2 linked regions of the Caenorhabditis elegans genome follow. The protein of the gene in region 2 interacts with the protein of the main gene of each other region in a pairwise test. Each region holds a gene or a part of one and is shown on either strand. Other genes may lie near its edges.

What was found.
Region 1: the proteins of tbc-2 (region 2) and rab-35 interact in a two-hybrid assay, tested with the Caenorhabditis elegans proteins (one study listed by BioGRID).

The regions. Positions count from the first base shown.
Region 1 is NC_003281.10:11,306,102-11,313,287, reverse strand, and holds rab-35 (Ras-related protein Rab-35), read left to right. Parts: upstream 1-1,721; 5' UTR 1,722-1,741; coding exon 1,742-1,850; intron 1,851-2,624; coding exon 2,625-2,748; intron 2,749-3,261; coding exon 3,262-3,386; intron 3,387-4,593; coding exon 4,594-4,718; intron 4,719-6,264; coding exon 6,265-6,411; 3' UTR 6,412-6,641; downstream 6,642-7,186. Other genes in the region: teg-1 (GYF domain-containing protein), read left to right, coding at 457-591.
Region 2 is NC_003280.10:5,823,277-5,829,192, reverse strand, and holds tbc-2 (PH domain-containing protein), read left to right. Parts: upstream 1-1,749; 5' UTR 1,750-1,766; coding exon 1,767-1,844; intron 1,845-2,027; coding exon 2,028-2,206; intron 2,207-2,250; coding exon 2,251-2,665; intron 2,666-2,709; coding exon 2,710-2,850; intron 2,851-2,897; coding exon 2,898-3,034; intron 3,035-3,083; coding exon 3,084-3,467; intron 3,468-3,514; coding exon 3,515-3,759; intron 3,760-3,810; coding exon 3,811-4,277; intron 4,278-4,325; coding exon 4,326-4,842; intron 4,843-4,893; coding exon 4,894-5,036; intron 5,037-5,086; coding exon 5,087-5,107; 3' UTR 5,108-5,337; downstream 5,338-5,916. Other genes in the region: gtap-1 (Dynein heavy chain 7, axonemal), read left to right, coding at 237-402; ZK1248.11 (E3 SUMO-protein ligase NSE2), read left to right, coding at 607-852, 900-1,103, 1,306-1,461; ehs-1 (Eps15 (endocytosis protein) Homologous Sequence), read right to left, coding at 5,595-5,667, 5,715-5,916.

The sequences.
Region 1 (7,186 bases), on a different chromosome or scaffold from region 2:
AAATTCTCGATTTTATACCGAAAAATCCTAATTTTTCAGCGAAAAAACGGACGATTTTGGCGAAATTCGTGTTAACAAAATAGTTTTTTTTTTTTTAAATGAAGAATTGATTTTTTTAAACCAATTTTTTGGGATATAATCAGAATAGCCTATTTTTAGCAAAAACTTTGAACATTTCCATGAAAATTTGGTGAAAAATGTCAAAAATAGCCAATTTTTATCCAGAAATCGAAAAAATTCAATTTTTGTTAGGTTTAGACCCGTTTTAATCGAAATAGTTTTTTCTTATTAAAATTCACGCTGAAAAATCCGGCAAATCGCCGGTTTGCCGAAAATGTGTTCGAAAAATAAATTAAAATATGTCAAAAAAATTTCAAAAATTTTTTTTTGAAAATTCTGAAATTTTTTTTAATGAAAAAAAGTCTCAAAAAAAGTAAAAATTTTTTCCAATTCCAGGGCCCGATTCCGACTTCAGAAATGATGGATCGCCAATCAAAAGGACTTCTTTCGGCAGAAGGTGTTGCCAGACGTTCTGGAACAAATGGACATTTTAATCCAGTTGCCAGAATTGATTTCGAGCTTTATTTGTAAAAACTCTCCTAAAAAACCTCTCCTCCTCCTCCCCTGAATTTTAGCAATTATATGATTCATATTTCATTTTTTTTTGTTTCATTTTCATTTTTTCCCCCATTTTTTTTTGTTTCTCTGAATCTCGTTTTCACTCTCTATCTCTCTCTCATCACTTAGAACACACATTCATTTCTCTCACTTTTTCCGCCTGAAAACAGCTGAAAAAAAGTCGGAAAAATGATTCGGTGCCGAAAACTTTTCAAATACCGAAAACTCGCTATTCAACATGATATTTATCACAGTTCCGATGACATTTCTCGAGGTTTTTTCAATTTTTTTTTGTAAATTAAATTTTTTTTTTCCCGTTTTTTTTTTGCCCTTTTTGGTCCTAAAATTGCATTTTTTTTCAAGTTTTTAACTTGAAAATTCATTTTTTTGGCCTATTTTCGCCCCTAAAACTGCACTGTATTATATAAAATCCCCAATTTTTTCCTTTTTTAAAAAAGCTTTTTTTTTTAAGATTTTACGGTTCCAAAAGCCGCTAAGTTTCTGCTGAATTTTCTGGGAAATTTCTAGATTTTACATTAAAAAACAAATTTTTTTTAAAATTCTAAATTTTAAACTTCGCTAAATTTCTAAATTTTGGTGTAAAAAATTAGAAGACAAATTTTTTTTTAACCGGTCATTTTCCGAAAATGAAACCTCTGGTAATTTGCCGGTTTGAATATTTCCGGCAAATCGATAAATTGCCGGATTTTAATATTTCCGGCAAATCGATAAATTGCCGGATTTTAGTATTTCCGGCAAATCTACAGTTTGCCGGTTTGAATATTTTCGGCAAATCTGCAACTTGCCGGATTTGAATATTTCCGGCAAATCGATAAATTGCCGGATTTTAATATTTCCGGCAAATCTGCAATTTGCCGGATTTGAATATTTCCGGCAAATCGGTAAATTGCCGGAAAATCCAGTTTTTTGCCGGAATTGAAAATATTTTTTAAAAAATTTTCAAGTGTAATTTTTATTTCATTTTAACTAGAAACTCTAGTTATAAACTAGAAAATGTAATTTTTGTCTAGAAAAAACCGGAAAATCCGAAAAATTCACGAATTTCCTAGAGAATTTTGAAAAAAAAAACCCCCAATTTCCAGGCTTCTGCAACCCAACATCAATGGCGGGAACTCGGGATTACGATCATTTGTTCAAATTGCTGATTATTGGAGATTCGGGTGTCGGAAAGAGCAGCTTGTTGCTCCGTTTTGCAGATAACACCTTCTCTGGTTAGGCATCAAATTTTCTAAGGGAGAAAAATTCAGATTTTCCATTAAAAAAATTTTATTTAAAGAAAACTCAGTTTTGACCCAAATTTCCCAAGAAAATCGGGAAATTGGACAGAAAAACGGCAAAAAACCAATTATTACAAATAATTTTTGTTTTAAAAATAAATTTTTTCTAAAACTTTTGGGTCAAAAATTTGTTTTGTCCGATTTTTATTTAAAAAAATGAATTTTTCCATCGAAATTCTGATTTATCCGATTTTTATATTTGAAAAAATAATATTTTTTGCTTAGAAAATCAGTTTTGAACTCAATTTTCCCATGAAAATCGCGAAATTAAACAGAAAACTTTGAAAAACGCAATTTTTTGCTGAAAGTAGTCAAAAACCTGTATTGCGCGGCTACAAAAATTCTGAGAATGCGTATTGTGCAACATATTTGACGCGCAAAATATAACTATATCTCGTAGCGAAAACTACAGTAATCCTTTAAATGACTACTGTACCGCTTGTGTCGATTTACGGGATCTCGATTTTTTGAAATGAAGTAAATTATTTATTTATCAAAATTAATAAGAAGCAAAAACGAAAATAAATCGAGCCCGTAAATCGACACAAGCGCTACAGTAGTCATTTAAAGGATTACTGTAGTTTTCGCTACGAGATATAGTTTTATTTTGCGCGTCAAATATGTTGTGCAATACCCATTCTCAGAATTTTGTGTTCCTATAATACTGAAAATAGCAATTTTACCAATAAAAAAAATTTTTTTTTGCAGAAAACTACATTACCACAATCGGCGTCGACTTTAAAATTCGTACAATGGATATTAATGGACAACGTGTCAAACTTCAGATTTGGGATACTGCCGGGCAAGAGAGATTCCGTACAATTACATCGACGTATGGCGGAAAACTTTTTTTTTTTTTTCAAAAAAAAAATTTGAAAAAATTGCAATATTTTATCACATTTTTGTTTGCAGAAAAAAGCCCAAAATTTGTGGTTTTTTTTTTTTTTTTTTTTGAAAATCAAAAAACTTTGTGGGAATTTTCAAAATTTAAAATTTCTATGAATTTCAGAGACAAATTTGGAGGAAAATTTCCGATTTTCCGGAAAATCGAAATATCTTCAACTTAAAATTCAATTTTTATCGAGTTTTGTATATATTTTAATGAATAAATTGGAAAATTATAAAAATCTCAAATTTTATCGAATTTTTGTTAAATTTCGTTGAAAAAGTAGAAAATTTACCAAAATTTTGAGATACTTTTAATGGAAAATCGAAAATTTTTTATTTTTTCGAAAAAACGAAAAACTTTTGTGGAAAATTGATACAATTTATTTAAAAATCGAAAATTTTTAGTTTTAGTTTTTTTCAATTTTAGTTAATATTAAAAAATTAACGATTTTTGCAGTTACTACCGCGGAACACACGGAGTCGTTGTCGTCTATGACGTCACAAATGGAGAATCTTTCGGAAATGTGAAACGGTGGTTGCAGGAGATTGAGAATAATTGTGATTCGGTTCAGAAGGTTCTTGGTAAGGAGCAGAAGCAGCTTTTCAGCTGAGCTAAAAAAAATTTTAAAATTACGATTTTCCTCCTTTTTTTTGAAAAGTTGAAAAAAAATGGAAATAAAAGGGTAATTTAACTCAATATCACTATAACTTTTTCCTCACGAGGGACGAGGAAAAGTGGTTTCTAGGCCATGGCCGAGGGGCCGACAAGTTTCAGCGGCCATTTATCTTGCTTTGTTTTCCGCCTGTTTTCTTTCGTTTTTCACAGCTTTTTCCCGTTTTTTCTTTTTCTTCTTTTTTTCTTCTTTTCGTTTTTTCTATCTGATGAATAAATACTTTTTGCAGATGCTAAAACAATTTCCAAGTAAAAAAATTATGTATTCAGTGGGCAAGCAGCGGTGAAAGTGGTCACTGCAATATGATGGATTACGGGAATACAAAACCTAAAATTTTTCTGAAACATGATAAATATGATGCTTAGATGCTGAAATTACCTGATTTTCATAACGAGACCGCTGAAAAAGTTTTGAGGTTTCCAAAATTCAACTTTTTTGGTGAAAAAGTAGAGATTTTCGTACAAAAAGTTGAATTTTGAAAACCTCAAAACTTTTTCAGCAGTCTCGTTATGAAAATCAGGTAGTTTCAGCATTTAAGCAGCATATGTATCATGTTTCAGAAAAAGTTTAGGTTTTGTATTCCCGTAATCCATCATATTACAATGCCCACTTTCACCGCTGCTTGCCCACTGAATACATAATTTTTTTACTTGGAAATTGTTTTAGCATCTGCAAAAAATATTTATTTATCAGTTTTAATAAGAAAAAACGGGAAAAAGCTGTGAAAAACAAAAGAAAACAGGCGGAAAACAAAGCAAGATAAATGGCCGCTGAAACTTGTCGGCCCCTCGGCCATGGCCTAGAAACCACTTTTCCTCGTCTCTCGTGAGGAAAAAGTTGCAGTGATCAATTTTCATAGTTTTTCGCGTTTTTTTTTTTGAGAAATTTGGAGAAATTTTGACAATTTTCCACATTTTTCAAGGTTTTTTTTTGAAGAAAATTACAAAAAATTAACACTAAAAAGTTCCGAAAATGATGATTTTTTTTAAATCTAATTTTTTTTTCAATTTTTTAATTAAAATTAACATTATTTAGAGATATTTTTCAAAAAAACCTTTAATTTTTTTCCGTATTGATTTTTTTTTTCAAAAATAAACAAATAATTCCGTTTTCAGTCGGCAATAAATGCGAAGAAAACGAGCGTCGAGTGGTTTTGGAGAGTGATGCACGTAATTATGCTCAATCGATGAATATCTCGTTTTTTGAGACTTCTGCCAAAGAGGACAAGAATGTCGAACCGGTAAGAACGAAGAAAATATTGAATTTGGGAATAAAAATACATTTATAGTTGAAAGTGGCAAATTACAAAAAAAATTAAATTTTAGAATTTTTCGGTTTAAAAAAATATAACAAAATATATTTTTCCGAAAAAATGTTTAAATATGATTTTTTTTTTAATTTTGGAAAAACCAATAAAAATGGCAGAATTTTTTTTTTGAATTCCCGCTGATAGTGAAACTTTATTCTTCAATTGTTCAGACATCATTCTGTAATGAAAACTTGGTAATAGGAAATAAGTTTGCTGAAGCTGCTCAACAATTAACTTAAAGGTGGGGTACCGAAATTTGAGACTTTACTTTTTCAGATCCAAAATGGCCCAAAACTACCGAATTTCGTAATGAGACGTTCTGAAAAGTTTTCAAAAAAAAGGTATGGCGGCTCAAAGTTTTGGAAAAAATGGCCTATTTTTAGCTAAAATCTTAAATTTTGGCAACTTATCGGTGTCGCATCGGTTGAGACGTAATTTTTATTTGATTACCATTTTTTAATGCATGTTTTGGCATTTTATTAGGTGTTGTTTCGTCGATTGAGATGTTTTTTTGGCCAAAAATATGATACAATTTTGAGTCCCCCTTGGCCAAAAAAACATCACAATCAACGAAACAACACCTAATAAAATGCCAAAACATGCATTAAAAAATGGTAATCAAATAAAAATTAAGTTCCAACCGATGCGACACCGAAAAGTTGCCAAAATTTGAGATTTAAGCTAAAAATAGGCCATTTTTTTCCAAAACTTTGAGCGGCCATAGCTGTTTTTTTGAAAAATTTTCAGAACGTCTCATTACAAAATTCGGTAGTTTTGGGCCATTTTGGGTCTTAAAAAGCAAAGTCTCAAATTTCGGTACCTCGCCTTTAAAGGTGGTGAAATTTTTTAAATTGTTTTAATAGACTCAAAATTGTCTGAAAACACCGAATTTCATAATGAAACTTCTTGAAAAATTCTCAAAAAAAAGTTATGACGACGGCTCAAAAAGTGGCCTAAATTTAGTTGAAATTTGAAATTTGACTTGTCAAGCGGCTGGAAACTAACTTTTTTGAAATTACCGTCAAATTGTGAGTATACAATGTAATTATCTTGCGTTTTCAACTTGATTTAGGTTTTTTAAAGTCGATGGACGGCGAGATTTGGTTAAAAAAATTAAAAATCTCGCCGTCCATCGACTTTAAAATACCTAAATCAAGTTTAAAACGCAAGATAATTACATTGTATACTCAAAATTTGACGGTGATTTCAAAAAAGTTAGTTTCCAGCCGCTTGACAAGTCAAATTTCAAATTTCAACTAAATTTAGGCCACTTTTTGAGCCGTCGTCATAACTTTTTTTTGAGAATTTTTCAAAAAGTTTCATTATGAAATTCGGTGTTTTCAGACAATTCCGAGTCTAATAAAGCAATAAAAAAAATTCGAAAAGCGTAAGGATTGGAATAATTCAAAAAATGTTTTTTTTTCATAGAGTTTCAGTAAAATTTTCAGAAAAATTAATTTTTTCCCCATTTTTTCAGATGTTCACATGCATCACGAGCCTCGTTCTGACCGCCAAACTCGCAAATCCCCAGTCGGCTTCAAAGGATCAGAGCCGCACGGGCGGTGTATCTCTCAAGGACAATTCAGGAAGCACCAATCAGAAAAAGAAGTGCAAATGTGGATAAATTTTTCGTTTTTTTTTTTAATTTCTCTCACCATCATTCTCTATATTGTTTCACTTTGTACTATCATCAAAAATCGCAAAATTCTCGAATTTCCCCTCCCCTCTCCCCTGCCTTCCCGCATGTGCATATACAACAGTTTTATTCCCAATTTCCAAATCGATCGACTGCTTTTTTTTTTGGCTTTCTATCTGTTTTCCCCTCCTTCCTAAATTACTAAAATATTTAACTTTTTGACGAATTCTTTTCAGGAAATTGTTTTAAAATCCAAAAAAAGAAAGCTAATTTTGTGATATTTAATTTAGAGAAAAATTTAGTTGAAAAAAAAAAATAAAACTAATTTTTTTTTAAATACTAATTTTTGTTGAAAATTCCCATAACTTCATAATTTTTCCTTTAAAAAAATTTGGAAGATTATATATTTTTTAAAGTTCTAAAAAAAACCTTAAATATTTTAAAATTCTAATTTTTCCTAAATATTTTTGTTTGAAAATTAATTTTTTTTCGTACAAAATTTGATAGAAATTCCGAAATTTTCACTTAAAAAAATTAAAATTTTCTCTCACTAATTTTGGCCAATTTCAGAATTTTTTCGAAAAATCACCACTTTTTGTTTAAAAAAAACTCAATTTTTTCCAATTTCTTTGCCTAAATTTTCTAGAAAAATTCCCATTTTACAAATTTATCCAGAGGAATGGATTTTCAATTAAAATCTTGAAAAAAACTAAAAAGTAGAGAAAATTGGAAACTTTGGTGGGTTTAAACGTTAAAAGAGATT
Region 2 (5,916 bases):
AAAGCAACAAAAAACCAAAACTAAGAATTATTAAGTTTGAAACTTCATTTTGAAAATCTAAAACAAGTTGACCAAAATTGTACTTTCTTTTAAAATTTCGACTTTAATTTTTTTCTACTCAAAATTGTTTTGTGAAGCATAATTTTTCGTATTTTTTTCCAAAAAAAAAAACATTTACAGCCATGACTGCAGCTTTTTTGATTGAGCTTTTTAAAATGAAAAATTACTATTTTCAGATCAGTCTCCAACACGTTGGATCTTGACTATTTGGATCGATGTGAAACAAGTGTTCGAATTACTTTACAAAAGCTGCTTTCTCTACACGAAGCTTGGGGAAACGACAAAGATTCCATATTTTTCCATCTTTCTGTCCGAATAGGAAAATTGAATATGGGTACCTAATCACTTCTTATTCACTGCCTGGTTTTTATCGCCTTATGTTCAAAATTTTCATGCATAATCACTTTCTGAAAATATGGGTTAATTCAATAAAAAATTTTAAATTTTAAATGTTCATTTGTAGGCTAATGTTATTCGTATATAACGATTTTTGAATTATCTTTTTTTGTTATTTAGAAGTTCAATAAGTTGTGAAATCCCTTCCAGATGTCTACCCAGCTCGCCACTAGTATGGAAATTATTCGAAAAAGTCTGAGAAAGGCTGCTGAGGATGTTCTTCATATCAATTCAAAAAATGCTATTTCAAATGAAGTAGATTCTGAAGAATTCAAAGAAACATTGATGAAAGATGCAATGAAGTTGATGGAATTGGAGACTGAAGGTGCTCAAATGCAACACATTTTTGAAGCGTTGCATAATGACCTGAAAGATGGTTCAGACGAGGTTCCGAATGTACGTTGCAGATATTTAAACAAATTATATTAATAATAATTTTGCAGGAAAAAGCATTGGAGGAGTTATACGAGAAGGCGAAAAAAACCCATAAAAATGTGAAAGGCGAGCGACAGTACTTCAAAGACATTATCAAATCTATAAGGGATGAAAGTAAAAACGATGAAAATGAAATGGAAGTGATGCAAGTTCAACATAGTAGAAAGGATCCAATTTCGAAGAAAGATATTGTCAATCCAGTTATCAGTAAGGTAAGTTTTTAACATTTTTTCTCTATTTTTCAACATTTCATCCCCGTCTTGTCATTCGGGTTGTGCAAATATATCATCTGCAATTTATGACTCATTATTTTTTGATTGACCATCCTTGTTCGTTTATTTATCTTTCGAAACATTTCATCACCACCAAATTGCAACAAAAGTTTTATTTTATATCAATAAATCAATATTCCAGAACTGTGGACACGTCTACGATAGGGATTCAATTCATGAGTTTGCTGGCAAAAAGCGAGTTATCAAGTGTGCAATGCAAGGATGCTCTGAAACTATCAACATCGGCCAACTCGCCGATTATCCCGATTACTGGACGAATATTAAACAGCAACAATAAATTATTTGATGACTAATTTTAGTCATCTCTTAATCATTTCATATTGATCTCTTACTCTATTTCATTTTCACTTCACTTCTCAATACCTCTTCCTGCATTTCACTTCTTTTTTTCTCATTTTGTTTCATAAAAATTCGATACGTTCTCTCCCTCTCCGTTCGCCACCTTCCCTCGCCTGGTGGTCGAATAAAAAACCAGTTTGTCCAGTGCGATGAGTCGTTGAACATACGATACAAATACTACTTTTGTTATTCTTTCTAAATCTCTCATATCTATTCCTACTTTCAGAACTTCAGATAACGCGGATGTCTGCGGCGCCGGGGACAATCAGCCCACCAGCTCGCGAACTAAAAACTTCGGCAATCTGTGGATACTTGCATCGGGTACGGTAGTTTGGCCTAAATATATTATTTTCGGAAAAATTTCCAGAAAATTTAAAGATTTATTTTAAAATGTCCAGAAAATTTTAAAATGACATTACTATTTTAAATTTGATCCCGAAGAACTTTTAAAAACATTAAATGCCAATCTTAGGAATCAACAAAAATGATATCCACTGTTTCCAGATCGAAGTTCGTTCGATCGGTCTGATAACACGCCGTCGCTATTGGTTCGCACTCTGTGACTCAACTCCATATCTTTACTGGTATAAAGATTCAGATGACATAAAATGTATCGGAAGAGTCTCATTGAGTGGCGCAGCATTCACTTATGATCCAAGAGAAAAAGGCCGTTTTGAAATTCAGTGAGTTTAATATAATTAATTCGTTAAAAATCGACTTATTTCAGCTCTAACAATGAAGTAATTGCGCTGGAATGTAGTTCAGACAAGCAACGCAATGAATGGATGAAAGCTCTTCAAAGTACACGGAAAAGAAGCTGGAAGGCAACGAAATCAAAATCTGATTCAAGTCTAGATATTTCGTCTTTAACGGGAAGAAATTCGTCTTCGGTCCTCGAAGAATGCTCGTCTCCTTCTCCAGTACCACCACCAAGAAGTCCAAAACCAAAGAAACGAACACAATTCCTAACTGAAGAAGAAACAGACGCTGAAACATCTTCTGATGTTCCTCACTCATCTGAGGAAACTGCCGAAGTGGTTGAAGACACAGACAACACGAAAATACCAGCTGAAGGATCTGCAACGGAATGGTATTTGAATCCAAATGGACAGCTGAATGAACGATCTCTACAGATGCCAAAGGTAAGTGAACATACAACTTGAAAACTTTCAAATTATACTTTCAGACAATCGAAAGCCCAGAAACTGTATTAAAGCGACTAGCTGATCAAAGTATAGAAGCTCCTTTTCGAGCTATTCGAAGAAATCTTTCGACTTGGAGCAGAAGTCGGCAAAATACGTCCGATGAACCAGTTGTTGGAAGTAGAGTATGTTCAAATAGTGATCAAACATTCACTATGAGTAAAATTTTCAGAAAGGTACAGTATCTTCTGTTGATCTAACTCCTGAAGAGAAAGTTATTGAATTGTCTGATAAAGTTTCAAGTCTGGAGGAAGTTGTCGATTCGCTGAGAGCTGCTCTTCTACTAGCTCAAAGAAATAATGAAGCACTGTGAGTTTTATTATTTAATTAAAATCATAATAAATTGTTGAAATTTTAGTCAGAAAATCGAGGATATGGGAGATAATAAGGAGGAAATGCGAGAGTATATACTGGAAAAGGAGCGACAAGTCACCGAATTACATATTTCGAATAGCATGAATGCTCGACGAGTTCGTGATCTTGAAGATCAAAATGTAAGGCTTGAGGATACGATCAATGATTTGCAACAATCAGTAGAAGCTTTCCGAGAATCATTACGAACAAAAGAAGAGCTTATTCTTCGAATGTGTGAAGAAGAAAATCGAGAAGACTTACTAGGATCGATATCTGAAAGAAGCTCGAATATTCCTGCAGACGCAAATGGACTTGTATCGGATGTTGAGGTTCCTGAAGGCATTCTTGTCGATGTATCATCAGTTGATTGTGAAGAAGCTACCAGGAAGTACGAATTTATTTTTACAATTTAAATTTTAAAGTATTTTATTTTAGGGTTCTAGACGAAGAAAATGTTCGTGATATTGGAGAACTTCAAGATCTCGTAGAAGGATACCGTACCCAGAATCAGTTTTTGAATGCGGAAATAGTCCAATTGCATGCTATCACTCAATCTCTGGAAGATCGAGAGAAGAAGCTGATTCGTCAAAATTTCGACCTCGAAGCCTGCTATTACCAATTAAAAAGCCGTTATTTGATGGTTCTAAACCATTTTAAGTCTCCGACAAAACCAGGAAAAAGTGAGTTTTTAAACAATTTTCTGTTATAATATAATCACTTTTGCTCTACAGTAATGGAACCTGGTGTGTTGAAAGAATTACTCGAAGAGTCGGCAAGAACACCTCGAGAATCTCAGCAAAACCTCACGGATCAGTTGGGATTCTATAAAAAGGATGATTTTTCTGAAAGCGATGATCTTTTGGATACTGCCACGTTTTACATGAAAAAAGCGGGAGACGTAGTGGAAGCAACGAAATTGGAACAATCTGAAGAATACATGAAATGGTTACAATCGTGGGATGCGTTCCTTGTCAACAATACAGTATCCCGGCAGACTGCAATCATGTCTTCACCTGATCTAAAAACTCTTATTCGAACTGGAGTACCACCTGCCTACAGAGGTCGTGTATGGAAGATAATTGTGACACATTGGGTGAAGGATAAGCAAGCAGAATTGGGTAATGGATACTATCAAAGTATGCTCAGAAAGGCTGGAACAAAGAAGCAGGATGGAAGTTACGATGCAGCCATCAAACAGGTATATTTATATTATTCTAAATTCGAGTTTCTCATATTATTTTTTCAGATTGATCTTGACCTCGCTCGAACTCTGCCCACGAATAAACTTTTCGACGAGCCAGATTCTGCTAACATAGAAAAACTACGAAACGTACTCTACGCCTTCCGATACCATAACTCTCACGTCGGCTACTGCCAAGGACTCAATCGTCTTGCTGCAATTGCTCTGTTAAACCTGGATGAGCAGGATTCGTTCTGGTTCCTTGTAGCATGTGTGGAACATCTCCAACCTGAAGGATATTACACTAGCTCACTGATCGGAGCGGTTGCCGATCAGAAAGTTCTCCGCGATCTTGTAGCAGAAAAGCTTCCAAAATTGGCTGCACATTTGAGAGCTCTTGAAGTTGATCTTTCACTTTTCGCGCTCAGTTGGTTCCTGACGTGTTTTGTAGATGTACTCCCGCATTCTATTTATCTGACTATATTCGATGCATTCCTCTATGAAGGAAATAAGGTTCTTTTTCGATTCGCACTGGCACTTTTCAAAATATGCGAACCTCACGTTCTTCAATGTAAAACTATTGGTTTGTGACTTACAACTTTAAATTTATTAGTTTTTTAACAAGAATTTTCAGGCACAGTTCATCAATGTCTCAGCAAAGCTCAAGAACATATCATTGACTTCAAGTCGCTAGCTCAAGTGGCATTCAACGAACTGAATCCGTTCCCTCAGAAGACTATAGAAACTAAACGACAACTCTATTTGACACAATTGAAGGTAAACAGTAATATATAAATAAATTCTAATATAGCGATTATTATTTTCAGGATACTGGCCACTGTATGTAAATCCGACACGAACATTCTTGTACATCTAATCTGTATTTTCTTTCGATTTCTAGCATAATTATGTCTTCTTCACACAACTTTTTCACTATTATTTTCAAACTTCTGTGATTCTCCTTTTTCCTTATCAATTTCTTTTACGGTTTACTTCCCCCCCTTCAACCCGTTTACTTGTGCTCCGTTTTTACACATGAGACTGAAAATATCAAATACGCAACATAAAATTAATCTGCAAATCATTTACTATATATTATAACTCATAATTTACATAATAATCATGCATATTCATATTCTACAGTATATAACATTATTGCTCTGATTTCATAACCTAGAAAAGTGACAATTCAAGTGGGAAAGTGCAAAAAAACTAATCTTAAAAATGTGCATCAATAAATTATGTCGATGACTTGGCACAGGTAAACATTTGGGCAAAGTAAAACAATTTGACTGGCGTTGGGGCTTATAGTGGGTAAGGTATAATTATTAAAAATCAATTGAAAGCCGATCCAAAGTCCGCAAAATCAGCGAATCCAGCCGGTTGAGTTGATTGTCCTTGTGATGGGCTGAAATTATTTAGACTTTAAATAAATTGATACTCACTAAGACTTACGCAAAAGGATCATTGACAGGTGTTTCGCGAGCAGATTTTGGAGGAGCTGGGCGAGGTGGAGCAGGTTTTGCGGGAGCCGATTGTGCGAAGCCAGAATCCGATGGGAAGCCTCCTTGAGCAAATGGATCAGTTGGGAAAGCGGCATCAAAATGTCCAGATGAGCCGAACTGATCTACTTGGGCGAATGGATCAGCAGCAGGAT